3 linked regions of the Alligator mississippiensis genome follow. The main gene of each other region encodes a partner of the protein of the gene in region 2 in a complex. Links are inferred from orthologs where the notes say so. Each region holds a gene or a part of one and is shown on either strand. Other genes may lie near its edges. The genes, in order: RLIM, ubiquitin-conjugating enzyme E2 E2 and DET1.

Evidence for each region.
Region 1: the proteins of ubiquitin-conjugating enzyme E2 E2 (region 2) and RLIM are in contact, whole or in part, in a crystal structure (PDB 6W9A), measured with the Homo sapiens proteins. The link is inferred for Alligator mississippiensis from reciprocal best matches to the Homo sapiens genes UBE2E2 and RLIM. Residues at the interface, in NP_001357154.1 of Homo sapiens: Lys52, Thr55, Lys58, Arg59, Lys62, Pro112, Asp113, Pro115, Phe116, Ile142, Asn146, Trp147, Ser148, Pro149, Ala150, Leu151, Thr152; in NP_057204.2 of Homo sapiens: Ser571, Val572, Cys573, Ile574, Thr575, Cys596, Arg599, Trp600, Pro608, Ile609, Arg611.
Region 3: the proteins of ubiquitin-conjugating enzyme E2 E2 (region 2) and DET1 are in contact, whole or in part, in a cryo-EM structure (PDB 9BJZ), measured with the Homo sapiens proteins. The link is inferred for Alligator mississippiensis from reciprocal best matches to the Homo sapiens genes UBE2E2 and DET1. Residues at the interface, in NP_001357154.1 of Homo sapiens: Ala77, Gly78, Pro79, Lys80, Gly81, Arg88, Ser89, Thr90, Gly101, Val103, Phe105, Phe123, Arg124, Thr125, Arg126, Ser134, Gln135, Gly136, Gln194, Trp195, Arg198, Tyr199, Ala200, Thr201; in NP_001137546.1 of Homo sapiens: Arg258, Phe259, Tyr261, Asp264, Thr267, Val268, Phe272, Glu274, Asp289, Pro290, Phe291, Ile292, His297, Arg298, Leu300, Val301, Trp304, Arg305, Phe319, Phe320, Gln321, Phe323, Asp324, Arg327.

What each region holds. Positions count from the first base shown.
Region 1 is NC_081831.1:65,171,237-65,178,944, reverse strand, and holds the start of RLIM (E3 ubiquitin-protein ligase RLIM), read left to right. Parts: upstream 1-4,022; 5' UTR 4,023-4,147; coding exon 4,148-4,312; intron 4,313-5,311; coding exon 5,312-5,504; intron 5,505-6,534; coding exon 6,535-6,618; intron 6,619-7,708. UniProt on the Homo sapiens protein: E3 ubiquitin-protein ligase.
Region 2 is NC_081828.1:148,516,018-148,523,830, forward strand, and holds the start of ubiquitin-conjugating enzyme E2 E2, read right to left. Parts: upstream 3,633-7,813; 5' UTR 3,493-3,632; intron 3,037-3,492; exon of another isoform or gene 3,021-3,036; 5' UTR 2,939-3,020; intron 1-2,938.
Region 3 is NC_081834.1:14,196,801-14,204,939, forward strand, and holds the start of DET1 (DET1 homolog), read right to left. Parts: upstream 3,518-8,139; 5' UTR 3,430-3,517; coding exon 2,347-3,429; intron 1-2,346. UniProt on the Homo sapiens protein: Component of the E3 ubiquitin ligase DCX DET1-COP1 complex, which is required for ubiquitination and subsequent degradation of target proteins. The complex is involved in JUN ubiquitination and degradation.

The sequences.
Region 1 (7,708 bases), on a different chromosome or scaffold from region 2:
ATCTGCACTTACTACTAAAAGACATGAGCCCCTGCAGTCTTTTGTGTCCTCTGTTGACAGCTCTTGGCTGACGGAAGAAAGGAAATTCTGTATTATACTGAGGTAAGAACAAAATCTCACTTGGAGTTTAAAGCAATATGAGCAGTGTAGATAATATGGCTACATCTATATTTTGGAAGCCATATGTAACATAATAGGACAGGGGCGGGCAATTATTTCGGGCGCAGGGCCACTTACTGAGTTTTGGCAAGCCATCAAGGGCTGCGTGACAGGCAGCCGGGGTAGATGAATATTAATTTTCTAAATTGTTAGGGGCCCTGTGGGCCAGATAGAATGGCCTGGCAGGCCACACCCCTGTAATAGGATGTCACCAATGATGCCTGCCTTAACATATTGGCTAACATGGTATATTTTGCCCTTATGTCATTTTTGCCCTACAGTAGCATGCTGAAAAATTGACAACAGCCTTAAAATATTTTCCATTTGTAGACTTCACACTTCAGGACTATTGTGAGTGGAGCGCATATTCTGGGGCTTGTAACTCTCAGAGATTTAACTGTCTAGCAGTTGTTTTTGTGAAACTGTAGTATGAGAACATGTTTGTAGTGCTGTGCGAATGCCACCACTCTACATCCCATTCTGACAAGGCAGGAAGGAGCTATGCTGTCTTTGTAGTACTTCTGGTGTTTTGTAACTGGCATCTAGTATTATAGGGTTTGGAGAGAGAAGCCATGTATCCCATGGAGGAAAGGAAGGACCTCAAGGAAATGAAAAGTACCAGAGAATGGAGCAAGGACAGGGGAATGAACGCTATCTAAGTAGAAAGTTTATTCTATTCCTTTAAGTGGTCATTCTTTGCTGCTTCTTCCCTTGCAGTTATTAAATATAGTGACAAATTGCTCATTTTGAGACATCTGGAGATTAGAGTGGGGCCTTGGACGTTTTGGCTTTTATGCATCAGTGTAGCTTCCCCACTGAGCTTCACTTGCAGAAGCCCCTAATGTAGACTTGCTGCCTCTATATTAGACCTATGGTGTCTACCCTGTTTTGAGAGTGAGGTATGCCACACTAGTGCAGAATTAATACCAGGTGTTTGCAGTAGTGAAGTATAGTGTGGTGGTAGGTACACCAATATAAAAATTTGTAGCAGGCAGCCCTATGTTTAACTGAATGCTCAGATTCACCACTGGTTCCTTCTTCCGGTAATGACATCTTCCTAGGCCAACATGAAACTGTGCAGATGAAAAGGTAAGAAGATGGATTAATGAAAGGAAGAGGACTGAGGAAGGAAAACCCAGTCCAAAATGCAAGCTGGGGAAAAAATAAGGTTGAAAATATTGCCTAAGAGTAATCTTTGACTGTTTTCCGTAGTGTTTATATATTTTAATACACTCGAGTCCACTTTCTTGGCCTATTAAATGATTGTCTCACCTCACTTCTGTTGATGGGACACTGTTCTTGGTCAGGCTTCTGAAACGGAAAAGGCCAGTGTTTTCCATTGGATAATCAAAGCGTGCTCTTAGTCAGAATGAAAATGATGAAGCATTAATAGTTAACGCAGCGTCTTTCTTGAAAGAATGTGTACTTGTCATGGGATTATAGTATCACATGCGTCTTTCAGCATATTGTTTGTTCCTTTTGTTTTATAATTGGGTTTTAGAGATAAGAAACTTTCTTTTCTACCGACCTTTCCTTTGCTGTGTGATAGATCCACATAAATGGAGGAAACTAGCTCTAGAGTTGGAGTTCATTATTCAGTAACAGCTGTCAAATGCATAATGAAAAACTAAAAAAGTATTTTTCTCAACTTTGTACTTAAATGTTAATTTTAACTATAGCAGCCTACATATTTAGGTGTCTCCGAGTTGACAACCTCTTTAACCAAGATTTGTTTAGTACAAAATCTTTTCTAGCACTGTCAAGAGTTCTACACAAACTTAAAAAAGCTACTGTAATAGACAAAGCATAGGTTAACCCCTGTTCTGTATTACTTGTGTGAATTTTGAAGCTCACACTCATCCTTATGAGCTGATCCCAATATATGAGGGTATTAACAGTTACTTAAAATGTACAGAATAGCACACATTTCTCACTTTTCAATGCGTTTGATGGTACGAGTTTTTGGACTGCATCTATGTTTCTCAACAGAGTGACATCAAATCAACTTTCACTTCACACATATAGGAGCCTTCTGTTGGCTACTTTTGCCTGTCAGAGGTGAAAGTATTAGCAAATGCAATTGGTATTTGTGGGTGTCTTCCATTTTGGAAAATAAATACAATACTAAATAATACAAATATGAAAAAAATCTATGCTTTGTATTATGTTAGTGGCAGCAAAGGAACTTGCATGTTAGTTAATAGGATGACTAAAATAAAAACAGGGTTATAGAATCATCATTTTAAAAGCCAAAGTAGAGAATATATATAGTGTGACTGACTTTGTAGTTCTTGAGCCTCATACAGTGGTAGAATGCTGGATTTTATAGTGTTTCTTTCTGTGCTTAAAGCTCTAAAGGTGATGTTACTTTGTGAGTTGCAGTGCACTGGCAGCCACTGAAATTACACAGGCAGAGTGGTCTTGGAGGTGACGCAACACTTCTTATTTGCAGAAGTGCCGGCATAAACTGGGCAGTGTCTGACTTGCCAGCTGTGCTGAGAAACCAAAAAAAGTGTCAGTTCTGTGCACTAGACAGCTGCTAAAGCATCTTATTTGGAAGTTCTCCAGCAAAAGGCAGAAAGTGAAATGCTTTTTTCTTCCAATATTTTCACATAGCTTTAGCTGTTATTTAATAAGAGGGAATATTCATGGTGGCAGTGGAGCATTTTACCACATGGAAAGCTAGCTAGATAACCAGCTCTGTGAGTAATTGCAGATTCTAGCACTTTATGCGGTGGATGGTGAGGCGCATGTATTAAGGAAAACCAGTTATTGTCGAGGTTTCATTTGAATGCATTTGCAAGGGTTTAAGGTTACCATTGTTTCCTGATTTTGTTCGTCCTTTGCTTTTAATACTGATCAGATGAAGACATTACTCTAATGTTGAAAGATGTGATGAAGGTACTTGTCTTACTGAAATAGTAAGAGGGAGACAGGAAGACATTTACTTGATTATTGCTGGCAATATGTCTGGCATACAAGTTTCTTTTTGTCCTCTGAATTCTTGTCATCAAAATTTACTGGTTGCAGACTGGCTTCTAGTGCATCTAAGTTATACTCTCGATACTGGATGCTGGAATTAATTTCTAACCTTTTCCTCTCTTGAGAAAACTAAGGTCTTGCTATCACAGACAAAATGTTTTCTGGAACTCTCAGTGTATTGTGCTTTTATTCAGCTTCTTGGCCCATATTTCTGCCAAATATATCTGGCTGTTGGGGGATCGATGTTACTCTTACTTGGCTGGAAGGCCTGACATGAGGCACTTCCTTCCCTTAAGAATAACTCTGGGAGAATAAAACCTGTAAAACTTGTCTTCTAGTGTAATGTAAAGTTGGATTCAGTGACAACTTGCATCCTTTACAGATTGTCTGAATACATCCTTTAGACTTCTCTAAATTGTGGTTTGTGATTTGCCAAGGAATAGCAGCTCTGAGGATGTATGTGCTAGAACAGGGGTGGGCAAAATGTGGCTTGCGGGCTGGATGCAGCCCACCAGGCCATTCTATCTGGCCCGCAGGGCCCCTAAAAAAAAATTTAGAAAATATTTATCTACCCCTGGCTGTCTGTCACGCGGCCCTCAATGGCTTGCCAAAACTCAGTAAGCGGCCCTCTTCCTGAAATAATTGCCTGCCCCTGTGCTAGAAAAATAGATTTAGACTAGGGGTAAGCAATGTTTTTTGGCCAGAGTGCCAAAAAATCCACCATGTCTACCTTGGAAGGTGGCGGAGTGCCGGCATGTCAGAAAAACAAAATGGGGAGGGTGGTATATGGCAGGACTCGCTGCATAGTAGTATATTTAATAATCATAAATGTTGCCTTTATTGTTGTGTATTCCTTTTTTGTTGAGCATGTTGCAATGAGAGAGAAAAAAAGAGACAAGAGGAAGAGGAGAGAGAGAGAGAGAAAGAAAAAGAAGAGCAGAGAGAGAACCAGACACATGCACACAGAAAACCATGTGCACAAACACAGAGCCAGAACACACCCAGAATGGACACATGCATATATGCATCCAGAACTAGACACGTGTGTGCGCGCACAGATGCAGGACCAGACCAAGGCAGACATACGCACAGAACCAGATACGTGGGCACACGGAGCTGGGCTCCTCTGTCACTGGACAAAGTCAGCTCAGAGGCACACGTACGCCTGCTGGTATGGAGCTAATGCCGGAGCCCAGAGCAGATGTTTGCAGCCTTCCGGCTGCAGCCAGCCAGGGTTCTTGGTAGCTGCTGTCAACCACGGCAGAGCTTGTAGCCACCCAGCTGCCTCCTGGGAGCAGCCTGGGCTTTGTGGCTGGCAGCAGCTGCCTAGAGCCCAGGCCGGTGGTGGCGTGCTGAGCAAAATGGCCTTATGTGCCATGCTTGGCACACGTGCCAGGGGTTGCTGACCCCTGGTTTAGACCTTTCGTGCCTGAGCAACATTGAATATATAAAAGGATGGACCTGAGGTTATGGCCTATAGTTTTCATGCAGCTTTTCATTGTCGAGATGTGCAGTTCTGCTGAAAGTTCTATGTGGTACTGCACTTCTTGATGTTCTTCTCTGGAGAAGAGACGACTGAGTGGGGATTTGGTAATAGTCTTCATATACCTGAAGGGCAATTATAGAGAGGATGGAGATAGGTTTGTCTCTATTGCTGTAAGAGACGGGTCTAGGAGAAATAGCTTTAGGCTGCAGCAGAAGAAATTGTGGTTGGAGATTACGAGAAACTTCCAGACTATACGATTAGTTAAGTATTGGAGCAAGCTATCTAGAAGTTGTGGAATCTCCATCGATAGAAATTTTTAGGAGCAAGTTAGACACTTGCCTGGGATAGTTTAGTCACGGAGGGTCTTGCTGGGAGCATGAGGCTAGATTACATGACCTTCTGAGATCCCTTTTAGTTCAACAGTCTTACGTTATTGCGTCCAAAAAAGAGAGACTGATTTTTCAAAACAATTTAAATGCTAATCCCTGTGGTCATACAGGATATCCTCATAACTGGGACTTCTAGAAAAATAAAATTCCATGTTTTATGTTTAAGATGCTCAGTTTAAGTGAATGTCCAGATCAGGAACAAGTAAATCATTCCTCTAAAAGTATCATTAAGTTTTATAGGTTACCATAACTTACATGTACCCATGGTTTAAAAATATTGTTTTTCTTTTTTCAGATTCTCTTCCACTCTTTCATCAACATGGAAAGCTCAGATTCTAATGATAAAGGAAATATTGATCAATCAGAAGCTCAGCGTCGTAGTCAGCTGGATCGATTAGATCGGGAAGAAGCTTTCTATCAGTTTGTCAATAACCTGAGTGACGAGGAGTACAGGCTTATGAGGGATAACAATTTGCTAGGAACTCCAGGTATATCAGAATACATATTTGTATATTAAAGTTTTAATGTTACCAGACTAATTTTAATGACCTGTTTTTTTTTCTTGCTGCTGTGCCATTAAATTCCCCCCCCCGGTATTCTTCCAACTACAATTGTATGCCAGCGTAAGAGAGTAGCTCTCTACTTATCTGAACGTACAGTATGTCTTTTCTAGAAAGGCAATACATATAATTTAGCGCTAACTAGGATGAAATTGAGTTAACAGAAGCAGAGTTTATTTGCTTTGTTTATGTTTACTCAGCTTAAAAAAGGACATCCAAAGTTTGTCTGAGGCCTGTTCTGGTATTGGCCTTGTGTATGGGAGAAGGTTGCACCAGCTTAATGAAGAGTACAGATTTTAATGGCAAACTAGCTAAACTGGTGATGGCCTTTGTGAGGAGTGTATTTCAGTTTAGCTTATTCTTGTTAGAAATCATCTTGGAGAAACAAAAATAAGCCACTTGAAAAGATTAAATAAGTTTGTCCATCCAGGAGCTTGCACTGGTTTACCTGAATTGCTATTAAAACTTGCAAGATGGCTTTTTTAATGCATTCCTAATAGAGGTAAGCTAAATTTGAAATGAGCCAGTCCAAGAAAAATATGCCAACACATGTTGGTAATAAATCAGTTAAAAGTAATACCTCTTATAGTTGTCTCATATAGGCAGAATCTTAATTGGTTTGGAATGGAGAAGACTGATGAGATTTTTCTTAGAGATTACAGGAAAAAGCTTTTCTCAATTTTGTTCTAAATAGTTGGTAACTGTATTTTGGATGCTGCAGTTGTAGCTGGTCTTACCTGTGAGCAAGGATGCTTTGGGGGGTTCCACAAGCTGCCCTCTGGCTAAATTTCTAGAAGTCAGTGAAGAATATTTATAAGCAGTTAGCTTTTTGTTAAAAGAATATTCACAATCTCTCTGAACTGCAGTCTTAAGACTGTTTAAGATGTACATAATTCCTTCCTTATAGAGATTATTTGGACATACATATATATTGGGAAATCTTTCTTTGTTTCTTAAGGTGAAATTACTGAAGAAGAGTTGCTGAGAAGGCTACACCAAATTAAAGAAGGTCCACCACAGCAAAACAGTGATGAGAATAGAGGTATATACAGTATTTGTGAAAACTCTTAACTTTAGCACCTAATACGGACCTTAACTTGAGTGCAGGAGTGGAACAAGTTAAGCCTAGGCAGGTGCAAGGTGAGCTTTGTTTAAAAATTAAGTGAACGTTCTATTTGACACAACCTGCAAAGATCAGTTTTGGACAGATTTCAAGTATGGCATCTATTACTAGCGCCACAATAAGATTTCTTCTACGTTTCTTTAGTTGACTTTTTTTTTTGTTCAAATTTCTTTGCATTCTGTTCCCTTCTGAGATATACCCATAAGTCCCTTGTTTTCCCACCTTCACTCCTTTTGCTTTTGTTATCCCTCTACAAAGGAGAAATACACACAGTTCCCATTAGAGCAGTGCTTCCCAAACTTCTCCTCAGCATGACTGCATTTTCTCAGCATGACCCTATTTCCTTAGCCTCTCACTCCAAGCCACAGCCCTCCACCCCATCTGCTGATGTTGTGACTCCATTTGGGATCGTGACCCACAGTTTGGGAACTGCTGCATTAGAGCCTGTGACTTGTTTGTTTGTTTGTTTTCTAGCCAGCTCATCTCACTAGGTATCATAGATTTCATAGATATTAGAGCTGGAAGGGACCTTGGAAGATTATAGAGTCCAGCCCCCCGCCCTAGGGATCATAGGATCCCAGCAAGATAAACATCCAAATGTCTCTTGAAGGCATTCAAAGTAGGTGCTTGAACCACCTCTGGCTCAGTCTATTCTAAACTGTGGGGGCTCGGACAGTAAAGAAGTTCTTCCTTATGTCCAGCCTGAAACGGTCATGGAGGAGTTTGTGACTGTTCGACCTTGTCATCCCTTAGGGTGCTCTGATGATCAGACGTTCCCCCAGATCCTGGTGAGCACCCCTGATAAACTTATAGGTGGCCACCAGATCACCCCTGAGCCTGCGCTTTTCCAGGCTGAAGAGTCCCATGGCTCTCAGCCTCTTATCATAAGGTCTGTTTTCCTGACCTTTGATCATGCACGTGGCTCCTCTCTGAACTCTCTCAAGCTTCTCCACATCCTTTCTGAATTGTGGGTCGCAAAACTGGACGCAGTACTCCAGCTCTGGCCTCA
Region 2 (7,813 bases):
AATTCAGGAGTCAGACACTTTACATCAAATACAAAATTTGCATAAAAATAGAACACATTCTTTTTTATTAATGTTTAACATTTTTTAAAAGGACATACAGCCGATTTTACTTAAGTGGAGAATAAAATGAGTCAATATTATTAGCCACTGTTAATAAGAAGGATAGGCTCAAAGGAGTGGCAAAGGGATTGAGTCTTGCATCACTAGAGTACTGGTTCAAGTCTGACAGCGTGTTAAAAACTGGCAGCTATTACTTTCTTAAAGACTATACGTTAGTCCATGTGAAATAAATCTCCGGACTCAGTCCAATTAGGCAGACTTCCATTTTAATCTGGACAAAATCCACATCTTAGTTTGTACTTTTAACAGACACCTTAGGAGAACAGCAAGGCATTGAAAGTGAACTGTTTTCCTTTTCTAGAGATGGTACTTCTAAACTAGGGGTTAAGCATATTGGCGGAATTAACGTAAGGGAATTTGTGTGCCGAAGCCTGTCCTTTGAGCACAGGACTGACTCGTCATCATAAAAAACTGTCAAAGAACAATAAGCATTTAGAAATCTAATTTTATTATATTTGATATATTTCATGTATCCAATTCTCACAGTATTTCCACACTTCTTTTGATAGTGAGCTATTTCCATTTCTTTCTTCACTTTCATCAATGGAACTTAAAATACCAACAGTTGAAGAAAAATAAAGCACAACCGTTAGAGCTGTCATCCCTTTCAAAGCTGTCATTAGTGAGGGCTGCGCCTCACCCCTTCTAGGAGATTGCCAGCTGTAGTGGCAAAAAGATTTAGATGAGTTTATTAAAAATCTGAACCACCACTGGAAAGCTTTTTTACCTCCCAGTTTATAATCTAAATTGTACCAAAATGACATGACCATGTTCTTCTATATTTATTATTATTCTTCCTTTTTTTAAAAACTACCTTTGTTGCAGACAAGGCCAAATTTTTAGGCCACGGATATTGTAACTTTATCCTTTTAAACTACATAAAGAGATCATGCACTTATTACAGAAAAATACGTCTCAATTATTTTATGCTGCCATTGTCCCCCAAAGGAGAAAGGATTTCAGGCTCTTTGACAGACAATGTAAGAATCGCACAATAGTCTGCACATACAACTCACAAGAACTTTATTGAAAGCTCCTAACTAAACATTAATGTACCACTGTAATAAAAGCCTGGCATCTCCCACACAGGTATAGAAAGAGAGGACAGAGAAAGAAAAAGGAACACTGTTTGGATTATAGGGAGAAAAAACATTTAAAAAAAGAAGATTAATGCTTCTTGTATAAAAAAGAATTTACTCCTACTATTCAGTTAGGAGCCTTATCAAAATCAAAAATGGTCAAAGAACACCTACTTTGGAGACCATTATTTAAGCAATGAAGGGCCAATTTTGTATGTCATTATTCATGGGATTAAATCCAATTGACTTCAGTATGAATGAAATCTCTGCATAATTTACAAGATTATATATCAAAGTAACAGGAACTTTGGAGGGATAGGATGGTTCAAGAACCTTTAAAGGGAGTAAGATACTGAGAGGTAGTGATGAAGAATGCTAGAAGAGATTACCCTAATTTATCATCCGCTACTTTGTTTTGATTATGAAAACTAGTACCCAAAACAGCCTTGGTGGTGCATTTGAGAATGTAAAGCAAGGCAGTATTTTATTGCTGGAAGTTAAGAATGAGCAATTCTTCTGAAAAAACAACTTTTCCCTACATCAGAGACATAATAATGTCTTTTATGTAATTCACAATTTAACACAGGTTAATCTTTAGGTATTTACATCCCAGTTGTCAAATCTTAAGGGAAAGAAACAGAAGATTTAGAGATGATAAACACAAAGCAGCTGTATGCTGACAGTTTCAAGACTGTTACAGTTATTAAAGGCACATTTTGACTTTGTAGCCATATGTACTATTTTACTTTATTTTCAGATGGAGGTAGAATATAATACAATTTTTTCTTAAAGCATCTGGGATAGCCTTTATTTAGACACTGATCTTTCATTAAGACATCTAATTGTAAAGAGAGGGCATTCTCCATACAATGTACCCGTTCTGCATAAATGCTGGCCAAAAAGTCAGCAATGTGTTTAATAAAGACTCTTTATACCTAATGCCTCCTGTGAACGATTCTCCTATCAAACGTCTGTATTCACTTTGTAAGTTCAAGTTACTACCCAACAGATAAACACTGTAACAGTAGCCCAAAGCATATAATTACTGTAAGTGGTAATGCCAGCTTTTACAACAAGGAAATATTTAAATCTCTCATTTGACATCTGGCTATTTTCTCACCTCTCTTCCCCTTTCCCCTTCTACACAGACACAAATATTCAAATAAAGAAAGTGATGTTAAGTGGTTGGAAGTTCAATTTAACCATGAGAAGGAGATTTAAAAGGGTTGGTGGAGTCAAACTTTTGAAACATGGGCACAACTATGAAGAAAAAACAGCAAGACAACAGGTTCAGGGGAACAACAACAGGGGGATGGTGTGGTGGGGAAACATTTCAGTGAAAAAAAAAAAAAAGAGACAGATTCTTGTGTAAGTATTAACAAACACATCCTTATGCCATACAAACACACAGAGGTCTTTTAGCCACCTATTCCTAAATCTGCCCCAAGCAGTAACAAACTCTAAAACAACCTCCCACTATGTACCACCATGTCCGCACTGGATTCCCTATTTCCCATCCAGAAAGGGGAACCTCATGCTCCCCTCGTGTCAAAAGAAGGGGGTGAAGATAAAAAAAAATGAAGGTAATAAGAGACCTGGCGCCAAACTCCCTCGACAAAATTTAAGTGACAAAGCGCCCAAAAGCAAACACTTCTTCCATTTCTAAATACCGTGTCCTTTCAAACAGACAAAAATAAAGTAAAATAAAATAAAATGAAATAAGCCCCCACCGCCATCACCAAGGGTAAGAAGAGATCCTGGCAACATGCGGCTGGGTCCCAGGGGCATGCGATGATGTCTCTCTGAAGCGGCCTTAATTTCCTATAAGCAAAGATAAATGGAACATTTCTGCCGGTCCACGAGCAGCCGCCGCCGCCTCACTTCATCTTCATTAGAAACCGTAAAGGGCAAAAAAAGATCAAAACATTACGGGGGAGAGAGAGGACCGGGAGGAGACCAGGGTTGAGTCCGCCAGGCCGGGGGCTGCGGGAGGGACAAACCCTCCGGTGCTGATGCGGCTCGGGACTGACACCAACCCCCGGGGGAGGGGGCAAGGACACGGGAAAGGGGGGACACATACGGGGGGTGGGGATGGACACACACACGAACGCAACACCGTCGGAGAGGACACGGACACGGACACCCACGTGCCGGGGGGGGACCCCCCACATGGCGGCCCCGCCCCGCCCCCGCGAGATGGAGGCGCGGGGGAGGGGCGGCCGGGCTGGGCCGGGCCGGGCCGGGCTCCGGGGGCAGCGATGGGGCTGGGGGGGGAGAGGGGAGTCCCAGTTACCTGCGGGTCTGGCTCCGGCTCCGGCCGCTCCCCGAGGCGCGAGCCCGCCCCGCGCTGCCCCCGCGGCCGCTCCGGCTCCGGCTCCGGCTCCGGCTCCGGCTCCTGCCGCCGCCGCCGCCGCCCGAGGAGACGCGGAGCCGCCGCGCGCGCCCCCGACGCCCAACGAGGAGGGGGGAGGGGCGGCGGACGGGTGCTCGAGGACGCGCGTGCGCGCTCACGGCAGCCCGGCGCGCGCGCACGCACGGGGGGGGGGCGGGGGGAGGAAAAGTGACAAGCGAGCGGGGCCGCGGGGGAGGGGGGAGCGCGCCTTAAAGGGGAACGCACACGCCGCGCCTCCCCCAACAGCCCCAGTCACCCGGCTGCGGGGTGCTGCCCCCAGCATGGGCGGGCTGGTCTGCCCTGTGCCCCCATGCACCCTCTCAGCCCTCGCTCCTGCCCCGGCTACACAAAAACTCCTCGGGCCGGTGGCCCCTTGGGGGAGCCCCGGGTGCTCCTCGCTCTCCCGCCGGCCTCCCCCCCCTCTCACTCACTCCTGAATCACCCCCCGCCCCGGGAATGGGCTCCCCCCAGCTGGGCCTGGGGTTTGCACCAGCGGCATCACTGCTACTATAGTCACTAGGATCATCATCATTGTCATCAGTCACAGTCCTGATAATAACATTGATCGTGTCTTGACTGAACCCAGCCTCACCCACATAGAGACCCTGGGGAACCATCTGCCCCTCCTTGCCCCACACCACTGGTGGTTTTTTGGCATTTTGGTCTCTTGAAAGAACTGGGCTAGGCCAACTGCAAAGGCCATTGGAGAGAGGTCGTTTAGCCTTGCTGGGTCTGCGGCCAAGGCCGGTGCTGGAACAGCCGTTCAAAAAACACGAGGGAAAAGAGCGTCGTGGGCATGTCTCGACATTATGAGTAACCTTCATCCTGGGGGAGTTTTGCCACCGACTTTGAAAGGGCCAGGATTTTACTTGTCTTACAATTGTTAACAAAACCTGGAATACAGTGACGGGAGGCAGGCCAGAGACGCACTGTATGGGCTAACTAAGGAAGACGTACAAGCTTTTGTGAATTGCAGCGCCCTTCATCTGAGGGCAGCCTCTGCTGAAGTGAGCGTCGGAGCTCCTGCTCCACAAGCATCTTCCGTAGTTTGCCCACAAGGTCTATGCCCTGCCTTCTGCACCACTCACTGTATTCCAGGTTTTGTTCACGATCGTAAGACTGGACCCTAGACAAGGAAAATCGTGGCCCTTTTGAAATCAGTAGCAAAACTCCCCTGATGAATTTCTCTCCTAATGCTGAGATATGCCCGTTACAGCATGTTCTCTTATGTGTGTTTTAAATGACTGTTCAATCGTTGGACACACAGTTACCAAATTTGGTTTTGTAGTATAAGAGCTTATAGCTTTCAGAAATACAGACACTGCCATTAAAGATTACCTAACACAGAGACCCCTGATCTGAGCGTGTTTTAGGTATATGGTGCAGTGGACTGTACTCATGCACATACTGACTGCACCATATCTAGACTCCTGGTGGCCCCGGACAAACTTTTAGTATCGGGCCCCCCTTTGCAAGAGATGATGATAATAAACAGACAACGGGGGGAAAAAAACATTTTCAGGCCTCCTTTCTGTCCAGTCCCAGGGCAGCCTGTTTCTGTTGTTAATGAATATTATCTACATTGAATTTGGGTAAGTGCATGCTCTAGGTAAGGACATAGCTATTTTTTTTTCTTTTCTGAGTTTATGGCTTGAATAGAGTCCATTGCATTACATAAAGCACACTTCTGTTAAGATCTCTTGATTTAACAATGCCTTGGATTAGGGCAGGTATCTCAATTAACATCTATAAAGATACCTCAGCCTGGACTTCATTTAAGAATAGTTCATTTAGAAAACATTCAGATAAATGTGTATTACCAGGGGGATTCAGCAGCACTGACCCCTGCTCCCAACACACACACACACACACTCACTCTCTCTCTCTCTCTCCTTCTACAGCAAGTCAAGAGGATTTCCATCCTCTTCTTTGTAGACTTAAAAGAGCCCTAGAAATCAAGTAAGGCCAAAGTATCAAGCACACTAAGTCAAGAAATTAAAGAGTTAAGGGTTCCACTGCACTTCTAAATTGTGTTCTTTGTGTGTGCATGTAGTCTTTTCTATTCTGATTTTTCTTTTTTAGTAATTTTAGCATTGTTGTTTATGCAGTTAAATGTCTACAGATTATTAACTGTGCCCAATTGTTTATGTTTGCATTTCCAAGCTTGTGTTTGATATCTCAACCTTAATAGTTGATCCATCTCAGATCTTCTCAGTGCAAGTGTATCTATTTTGTTTTCACCTTACTCTGCTATCCAGGAGCTATATCAGCTATACACCCCCCACCACACACACACAACTTGAGTAGTCCCATGGCTTTGGCCTCAAGGGTTCTGTGTCATCTATGCCCCTTTTTGCCTACCTGTGCCTGCTATGCTTAAAAGGGAGGTGCAAGAGCCTCTGTGGTAGTGCTGTGCTAACCAAAGATTCCTCCTCCAGTGCTGGCTATGTCATTTCTTTTTGCACTGGTGGAGTACCATAAAGTAGGCAGAATAGACTAGAGGACCTGGCCTGCCACATATCCTGTACTTCCCCTAACGATACTTATCTTTCTCCCCATTTCCAAGTAATTTTTTTCTTTATGCTGTTTCCAAACGTGTCTACCTTCCCTGTGATCTTGTTTTGCTTTTGTTGCCACTTGGCTGATCCCTACTCCGTTTGCTGGCACTTGTAAAATGAAATTTGCAAGACTCCTGATCTCTGAAGCACTGAGACACAGCATTTCAGTGACTCAGAGATCAAGATTCTTATTCATTTTACTTTATAGCTGCCAGCATGCTCTACAGCATATAGAATAGAGTGCTGTGGAGCAGCAGGGAGAGATCTAGTGGAAAGACCTACAATAGAAAACATGTTACATATTCAGTTTAATTGCATGAATTGTGATTGCTAAAATATAACATCCTAAATCAGAGCAGTCATGACTGAATTCTAAATACTGGCCCTAAGCCTTAATGGACAACTACAGTAAGAAGAAAAATTGTTATTTCCCTAGTACCTTGACAGAAACTATTTTAAGCAAAGAATTTTCCTAACATCCTAAAGGAAACTGATTTTATGAGCATAGAGACAAGTTATTACTAGCTTGGCTTCTTTATTTGATCTGCAGCAGTGTAAAAGCTCCCAAAGTATAAGGATGTATTTGTTCATCTCAATTTGTTCAAGCCATTAAACATGAAAATAGATTCAAGTCCCATGCAAACAACCACAGACCTCTCTCCTTCTACTATCATCTATAAAATCAGGAAACTTCAGCTTCTCCTCCTCTCCTTTGCTAGTGAAGCAGCTTCCACTAACTATCATTCAGTTGGAACCAAAAGAAAAAACTAGAACAATAACAATGTGGAATCAGCGAGCCTCGCAGTTCTCAAGCACACTGCTATCCAGGATTCAAAAGAATAAAGATAAAACATATTAAGTCTGGGTGGGAGGGAAGTAATAACTTGCTTCCGTGTCCTTAATAAAAGCCTGACTTTCTTCAGGGTAGGAAATAAATCACTGCTTAGTGTCATGAATGGAGGCTTGTTTTATGTGCTAGTTTAAAGCCCAACTTAATATAATTGCAGAGGATAATACCATGATCGGTTAAAGACAGAAATTGCTAATAACTGAATCCCAAGACCAAGCTACTGTTTTTAGGAATGTATTGCTCTTGTACGTTCTGCAGGGATCAACAAACAGACACAAAAAACTGCAAACCCAAAATAAAACTTACTATTTCCAAAGGTATTCTAAAACACTGGCCTGCAAATTACACACATTTTCTATCTACTTCACTGTCCTATTGAGGCAGTAAGACCTCGTGAGGTGAGGGTAAAAAAAATAAGTCAGTAATTTACTTCTTTTCTTTTCCCAATTCCCCTTCTTTTGCTATGGCTTCATAACCTTTAAAGTCACATGATCGAAGCTTGGGTTTCTGATCAAAGATGGATAAAATACAGAAGATCTGTTAATCTCCTCTGTATGTAGGACTACATCCTATTGGGGAAGCTTAACAGATATTTAGCTGTGTTTGAAAAAATAGCATATACAAATCAGGAGGTTGGAGAGGACAAGGGTTAAACAAGTTATGCATGGTTGAGAAGGAAGTTGATACAAAAGGAAGAAACTCTAAGCCAGTGGTGTTCACCTTTTAGCCTGAAGCTGAATATATTTTTAAAACATCAATTGACCATAATCAAGATTTTGAAGCAGATTGTCTGCTCTCTGCAAAGGAAATGGAA
Region 3 (8,139 bases), on a different chromosome or scaffold from region 2:
GCCAGATTCACGCTGCTGCTTCCTGCATGAGCAGAAGGTGCCACAAATACCATGCTCCAAGTGGGACAGGGGCAGCTGGGGGGTCCTCTGGCAGGGCTGGGCAGGGGGCTGTGGGTTGGGCAGCAGCAGGGCCAGGGGGGTATGGGTCAGGACAGGCCATGGATCTTTGCACCTGGGTCCCGTTAGGAAAAAGGTCAAGAACCACTCTTGTAGCCAACCGCTCTGTGGAAAGGGAAGCCCTTGCCACCAGTGCTTTTACATAGAACTCAGCTGGTTACCTCAGCAGCTCAAGTGATTGGACAGCCAGAATTTACCCAGAAAGAAATAAGAAACTGACTGCACCTCCTGAAGGAACAGTCTAGTGTTCTACCTGCATCTAACACTGCAAACCAGCCCCAGTCTGAATCAGCTATGAAGTCTGAGAGGCCTGGTTCCCCAGGCATTTGTGACTGGGTTGTGACCCAACCCAGTCACAAATGCCTGGGGAACCAAGGAAGATCAATCCAAGAGAGTCCATAGCATTCACCTAGCCAGGGCAGCATAAGTTCTTTTGGGTCACCAACATCCTCAAAACTCCTGGACTAGTAGAAGAGACTCAGGAGCACCTCACTGTGAATCATTTAGTCAAAGACTCCCTGTCTGGGTATATCCCTAGAATACATGACACCATATCTGGTAAATACTTCAAACATTGCATCTGCAAAACAAACTCAGCCCTCAAGAACTCAACAGTTAAAACCACTGTGCACACCATTAGTTGCAACCCCGCAACTGATTAATATGGCATACAGACAACCACTATCCCTTCACGATAGCTTCTAGTCCTAGTAAATGAACAACATAAAGATCAAGGGGGAAACTACCACTAAACTTCCACAGAAAACAAAACAGTGAACAATAAGCAGCATGAAATATTTGTAAGGAAGTCTTGCCAGAATCCTTACATTTCTTTTAATGTATCGGAATTAAAAATAAGAAAGAGAAGGGAATTATGTCATTTAGTCTTTTTTTTAAGTAATCTTGAATTGGCTTCAAATGGATTGAAACAAAGACGGGGGGGGGACACGGGGACAGAAATGATAGGTAAAAGTGTGGGGGGATGTTTTGTGGGTACCACAGAGATTAGCCGAAGCTTAGTGACAAGCTTATTTCTTTGCTAAAACGACTTCCAGGTCAGTAAATAGTCCACGAGTTACAAACTGTAGTTGGCAGTACATTGGGTGGAGTCAGACTATGGAAGCTAAAAAAAAGCGTGGGGTGGTATGTGCAGAAGTACATCACAGAGTAAGAAAGTTAATAGTCTATTCCAGGAATGGCAAAAGTGTGCCATGTGTGCTACAAAGGGTACAAGGCAGCCTCTATATGTGGCATGCCACAGACCAAGAAGACAGGCAGCAAAGGGGCAGCTAGGGCAGGGAGCAGAAAGCAGAGCAGCAGGTCCAGCAGGGAGCACAGGTCAGAGAAAAGAAAGCAGAGCAGCAGATCAGGCAGGGGAAGGGGTCAGAGCAGCACTCCAGGAGGGTGCAGGGCTAAATTGTGGTAGACCTCTCAAATGGTCTATTTGTTATATTACTTTGCATTACTGCCTCTGAACCACTGTTCAGTTCTGGCATTGCCTTAGAAGAAACAAACTGGTGGGAATGGGAGAGGGGGCAAGAATAAGATTATCTGAGGACTGAAGAGACTGATACAAGAAGCTATTTTTAAAGACAAACTACATGTACAGTTTTGGCAGCAGAAACAGGGATTGGATACCAAAAGGTGTAGATACCATGGTGGAAAGAAGGTGCAGTATTTAGGGCTGCAATGGATGTCATTAATTTATTTATTTTTCGGATGACTGGCATGAAGTAATTCTTAACCAAGAATTTTAAAGGGTAGAGGGGTCTGTGAAAGGAAAATAGCAGTCTCATCATTTGGTACATTTAAAACTAAAACCATTGTTCACAGTATAGATCCTTTCATTTTGGGTAGTTAAAATACCCAAAATAGTAAGACCACAATACAGATTAAAACCTCTAATGCTACCACAATGTGACAACAAACTAGACAACGCGCCCAAAGCAGAACACAGAACGATCTCAGTTTGCTGGGAAATAGGAATAATGAACGGCACGCTTTTCTAATGTCTACACGGCATCTGAGAGATCATGAACAGCAAGAAATACCACGGTGATTAAATACCAAAGGCACCATTCAATATCTTCAAGAAGAGGATCCAAGTTACGTAATTATCCCTAATCAAGCCTCCCTTTTTACCACTCAGTCTGAAACAAGCGTTTGGACCAGAAATGCAGCCGACAGTTTTTATTTTTGTAACTGCCCAGTTGAGAGGACGGGCCCTACCTGGGAGGGGTCTGTCACCCGCAAGGTGACCACATCTTCACTCGTATATTTGATAAACAGGTGGTTCTCATCTAACAGCTGCATCTTCCACATGCGGAGCTGCCTCAACTGATCAAAGTACTGGAAGAACCTCCTCTTGGCCATCGCGCTGCCATCCTGCTCCGCTCTCCTCCACAGGTAAACCAAGAGCCGGTGCTTCAGCGAGTTGATGAAGGGTTCTTTGTAGGGGTTCGCCATCCCCGTCTGCGTGTCCCGCTGCACCTCCGGATACACGGCCGACAGAGTCAGGAGATCGTCCTCGTAGCAGAAGCGCCCGATGGTCCGCACGTCGATGAAGGTCCCCTCGGGCGTCACCTGAAAGACGTGGATGGTCTGCTGCTGCACGGAGAGGATGGCCAGGATGTTCTTGTAGAGGTAGAGCCCCTGGTTGTGAGACAGGATGACCTTGTCGCACTTGAAGGTCCTCGTGTCACACAGCCGGCCTGTGTGCAGGTCGATGATGTGCAGGGAATAATCCTCCAAGGGCGACCGGGGGTTGGGCGTCACCGACTCGCTGTTGCGGTACACCTCGAAGAAGGGCGGGTGCGGCTCCTCGGGCAGGTAGGCGGCCGAGCCCACGATGACGTAGCGGCAGTCGTCCGTGAAGAGGCTGCACTCGCGGTTCAGGTGCTCGCCGTTGGACGCCACGTTGGTGATGTGCAGCAGCACGAAGAAGCGCTCGAAGAGCCGCCCGCGCAGGTTGACCGAGCGCTGGTCGTTGCCGTTGGCCAGGATCTCGCCCTCGTAGCCCTGCAGCAGGTCCTCGGCCGCCTGGCAGCCCTGGTACTCGTAGATCTCCAGCGAGGTCTGGTCGGACGAGAAGGCGATGAAGTAGCGGCCGTCGGGCGAGAACTTGCGCAGGAAGCAGGGCGGCTTCTCCACGTTCACCACCGTGAAGTTGGGGAAGACGTTCTGGTGGAAGACGCGCACCTGGTGCCAGTGCGTCCCCGCGCGGCCCGAGCTCAGGCGCCGCCGCTCCAGCCGGTGGATCACGTTCTGGTTCTGGATGCGGCGCGGCCGCAGCGTCGGCGCCTCGACCTCCATGCGGGGCCCGGCCCGGCCCGGCTCCCGCGGCCCCTCACGCCATGGCGGCCGCCATCTTTCCGCCACGGCGCCGCTGCGAACGACTGCGCAGGGCCAGAGCGGCCCGGAAGTGACCCCCCGAGACCATAGAGGACGCGGCGCGCAGGGGGGATGGGCAGGGTAGAGTGTCCCCTCGCGCTCTGCGGCAGCAGCGGCCCCTGGCGGGCGGAGGCGGCGCTGAGGGCTGTTGGTGAGTGCGGGGATGCTCGCATCGTGTCAACCCTTCAAGGTGTTCAGGAATGCAGTCGTGGTTGACAGACACGTTTCTTTGGGCCAATGCGATCTCTTTTATTAGATCCACTCATTTTTCTTGCTCTATTGGATTAGATCAAATAATGCTCATGGGTGCCGCCTATGCCAAGTCAGTTGTAGCATCGTGTCAACCCTTGTGTGATCAAAGTGTTCAGAAATGGACAGTCATGGTTGACAGACAGGTTTCTTTGGATCAGTACGATCTCTTCTATTAAACCAACTCATTTTTCTTATTTTCTTTTCTTATTTTATTGGATTAGATCAAATAATGGTTGAGGCGGCTCATGGATGCAGCCTATGCCAAGTCAGTTGTAGCATCGTGTCAACCCTTGTGTGATCAAAGTGTTCAGAAATGGACAGTCATAGTTGACAGACAAGTTTTGTTGGGTAATTTTTATCTTATTTTATTTTCTTAGATCAAATAATTGTCAAATCAAATAATTTTATTAGATCAATAATTTAAGAAATGCCTGGATGATTGATTGTCTTGATGGGGTGATCTGACCCCAGCTGACTTCCTGCCCCTTGGGCAGGGGGCTGCACCAAATGATCTCTCAAAGCCCCTTCTATCCCTAATGTCTATGAAATCTATGAATTATTTTATTAGATCAAATAATTGATGTAGCATACGCCAAGCCCAAGTCACTTTCAGGGAGTCTGAACTGACTTTGGGGTTTGCTGTCAGCACTTTCCCCTGATGACTTGCCTCCAAATGAAGAATGTTTTTGTTTGTTACAACCCCCTGCATGTCTCTTGTTCCAATTTCTAGAATAAACTCTCACCTCCTTGAGTGCCTCCATGGGTCTCTGGGACTTCCTCATCAGTCATTTCTACACCTGGGTTCATGCGATTGTGCCTGAGTTCAGGGTTTTATCGAGAGCTGAAAATGGGCTGCCGGGCTGTGAAAGAGCCATTCTGAGGAAGGCAAGGGTTTCTTAGGGTGATATCTTTTATTGGACCAACTGTGTTGTACTCCAGAGTTGCACATGTGAAGTTGTGTATGTTGGCTGGAGGATTGCAGATGGTGAGTCTCCCCTACCTTGGAGGTCTTTAAGAGGAGACTGGAGAAGCACCTGGCTGGAGTCATCTGACCCCAGCGCTCTTTCCTGCCCAGGGCAGGGGGTCGGACTTGATGATCTACTGTACTGAGGTCCCTTCTGACCCTAAAAATCTATTTAATCTATGAGTCACCTTGGCCTGATGTTATGTTCCTATGTGTTGGTAGCAGCAACCCCTCAATTGGAGGATGTTCCCTACCACAACTCACTGATGAGTCTTGAGGTGACCTAAGAGTCCAAACCTTGAGCCACAGACCTGTCCACAGAAGGTGAAGATCTTTTTGCAGGGGAGAGTAGGCCACAGGCCAGGATTTCTCTCCTTTTCCTTCCTCCATTCTCTCTTCTCTGCTTCAAGGATGAGATGCTTTACCTCAAAACAAGCTGCTGCTTGGTTGAGGTTGCGGCGCCACTGGAGTTGGTTGGTAGCCAACTCCTCCCAGGTTTTGACATTGCATCTGTTTTCTTGAGGTCTGCTTTCAATGTGTCATTGTAGTGTTTCCTGTGGCAACCACAAGATTTCAGGCCATACCTGGAGGATTGCAGATTCTGTGCAAGAAACGCAGTCATACACAACTATATACAGCACAACTATGCAGAAGAAATTTGGAACAACAGTGACATATTCTTAAGCCTTTGCAAGGAACATAACATCATTCTAAGGGGACTCATCAGCTGCAGTCCTCTAGGTAACACACACAACTCCGTGTATGCAACACAACTATGAGAACTTCAGAGTACTACATAGTCGGTCCAATAAAAGATATTGCCCTAAGAAATCCCTGCCTCTCACATTTCTGGACCATCACAGCAACAACCTCACTGTTACACAATCATTCCCAGGAAGTGCTGGCAGACAGCAACACTGCAAAAGAAAGGATAGTGTGCATAGTGGAACATCTAGACCATTAAAAAGGAGAGAGGGTCGTAACCAGCTGTGGAGTGGAGAAAAATTAGCAGAAATTCAGGAGATGACAATAAGGCATGAAGTCAACGGACTCTCAGCACTGACTGAATAGAAATGTGCTGCTCTCCCTCCCAGGTAGTTGGTTTTAAATCTTAGGTGGAGCAGGAATCAAAGAGGGATTGTCCCCACCCACTTCTGATCAGCCTAGAAATGTTGTCGAACCTCCATCCCTGAATGTTTCCAAGGCCAGGCTGGACAGACCCTTGGCTGGGCCAGTTTGCTTAAGCAGGGGGCTGGGCTGGATGTCACCGCTTGAGGTCCCTTCCAACCTGACTTTCCAATGAACCCAATGCAATGCCACCTTCACATCCTGTGATGACCAAGCTCACCATATCTGTGCTATGGAGGCAGGTCTCATTCTAAGAAGGAAATCACATGGACTGGCCTCCTCATCCAGGCCCACAGCAGGGGGGAGGGGGGGGGCGGGGGCCTGAACCATCATCAGCCTGACAATCTTGCCCCTGCTTTTCTTCAGTATTTAGAAATTCTCTGTCTCATCTCACCAGGAGTCTCAGCAACATCTGTGTTGTGTATTGAGTGTTTAATTCAACCACAGACCTCCACATTGACAATTACACATGATGGAAATAATGTCTTGAGCTGCACATGGAACCAGTCCCTGGTGGATACTGCTCAACTCTTGCTATCAGGACACTGCATAACCCAGTGGGTTATTCATCTTCAATGTGAATGTTGGGCTGGTGACAAGTACAGCTGCTCTGGAGACTGATGCCTGTGCAGGCCCTCACTGCAGGCAATAGCAAGTATGCACTTACTTCCCCACACATCAGCTCCTCCAGCAAAGAGGAATTTCAAAGGCACAAGAGAGTTCATCTCTAGGGCCTCCTTGGTCTCTGTGCTGGGGTACCAACAAGGAAAACTTTTCTGATCTGAACCCTTGTCCAGAAGGAACTGAACTGATATTTTCCTGGGATTCACAGTTTGCCTTGCAACACAGGGGCAGAATCTAATTCCCATTGTAGTAAGACATCTTTTCTCATGCTGGGGGGCTGTTCATAATTAACCACTCTGCTTGGATTTATTGTCAGTCTTGGCTCCTACCTAGATGTACCAGGCCTCTCAGCCCAACAGGTTAAAATGGTAGAAAAGTAACAGCTCAGCAGCATGGATCATTCATTTTGGGAACCCTTTCTATTCATGACAAGAGATGACAAAAGTGTTGTCAAGAGATGAGGAGAAGACATACTTCTGACTTGCACAGATGTATGAATGAGAGGGAAAATCTGTACAGGGGACTGAACCTCTATGTCAGTTTTTCACCACTGTCTTTCCCTGAGCTGGTGTAAAGCTGCAGCATTGCAGTGCAGTGTTTCAGCCATCCCTCACCTTCCCCCAGGAAGGTGGCTTTGCACCAGTTCCTTGTCATTTTTCAATTAAATCTGATTGTTCCTGATAATCTGAAAAAGCCTCCCCCTTAGTGGGGATTATAGCAGAGGAGGTTCCTCCATCCAAGGCTTTCCTCTGTTGCCTTGTTGGCATCATTTCTTGTGTTGTGTTCCTCAGCTTCCATTCTAGGTAATGGCCACTAATTGGTCAGAGTGGTCATTGGTGGGAAGCCAGTCAACTCTGACTGGTGTAGGGACAAGTATATTGCCTGATCCCACTTACTTCTAGAAGCACCTTGGTCCTGTCCTTCAGAAATACTGCTTTTTGAGGGGTAGGGAGTAGAGATAGCAAAAAGAGATGTAGAAATTAGAGGGCCTTTCCTAAGGCTGGAATCTCACACAGGAGATGTAGTGGGGAGCAGAATCTCTTTGTCCTTTTTACATGCATAGTCCTATTAAACATGGTCATCTCTACCTAGAGCTGAACGAGTGCTTTTAATGCAGTACTTGCCAGATCTTACTGTGGCAACTTTGGCTCATCGCAAGAAAGAAACAGCCCAAATGAAAAAGTGGAAAACAGAGACTGCAGAGCTGAAAATTGGCTCAGGAGACAATATCCCTGGGGTGCAGATCATCTCTTGGTTTTCAAAGCAGAAGGACATAATTTTGTGATCCTTTCTATGGGGTGTCTTTCATGGGATTCAACTTCCCAATACGTGATTTCCTCCTGACCATAAAGAAGCATGTTTGCATCTCACAACATGATGGGGAGGGGGACAAACAAAAGAGGTCATGGCTCATAAAGTGTGGGGAGAATTTCCACTCTGTTCTCCATCACCTGCAACAGGGAGGCCAGGTGGAAAGACAGTTCATGACCCCATTTCTCCTCTCCTCCCATCCCGTCCCTCACAAATTGAAAGGTTGACAAGCTGCAGCTTCTGTCTCAACAGATCCCTTTGCCAAAGACAGTGCAAGCTGCAAAAAAAAAAAAAAAAGGAAAAAAAAAGAAGAAAAAAAGTGCCAGTGCTATATGGATCTACAGGAATAAAAC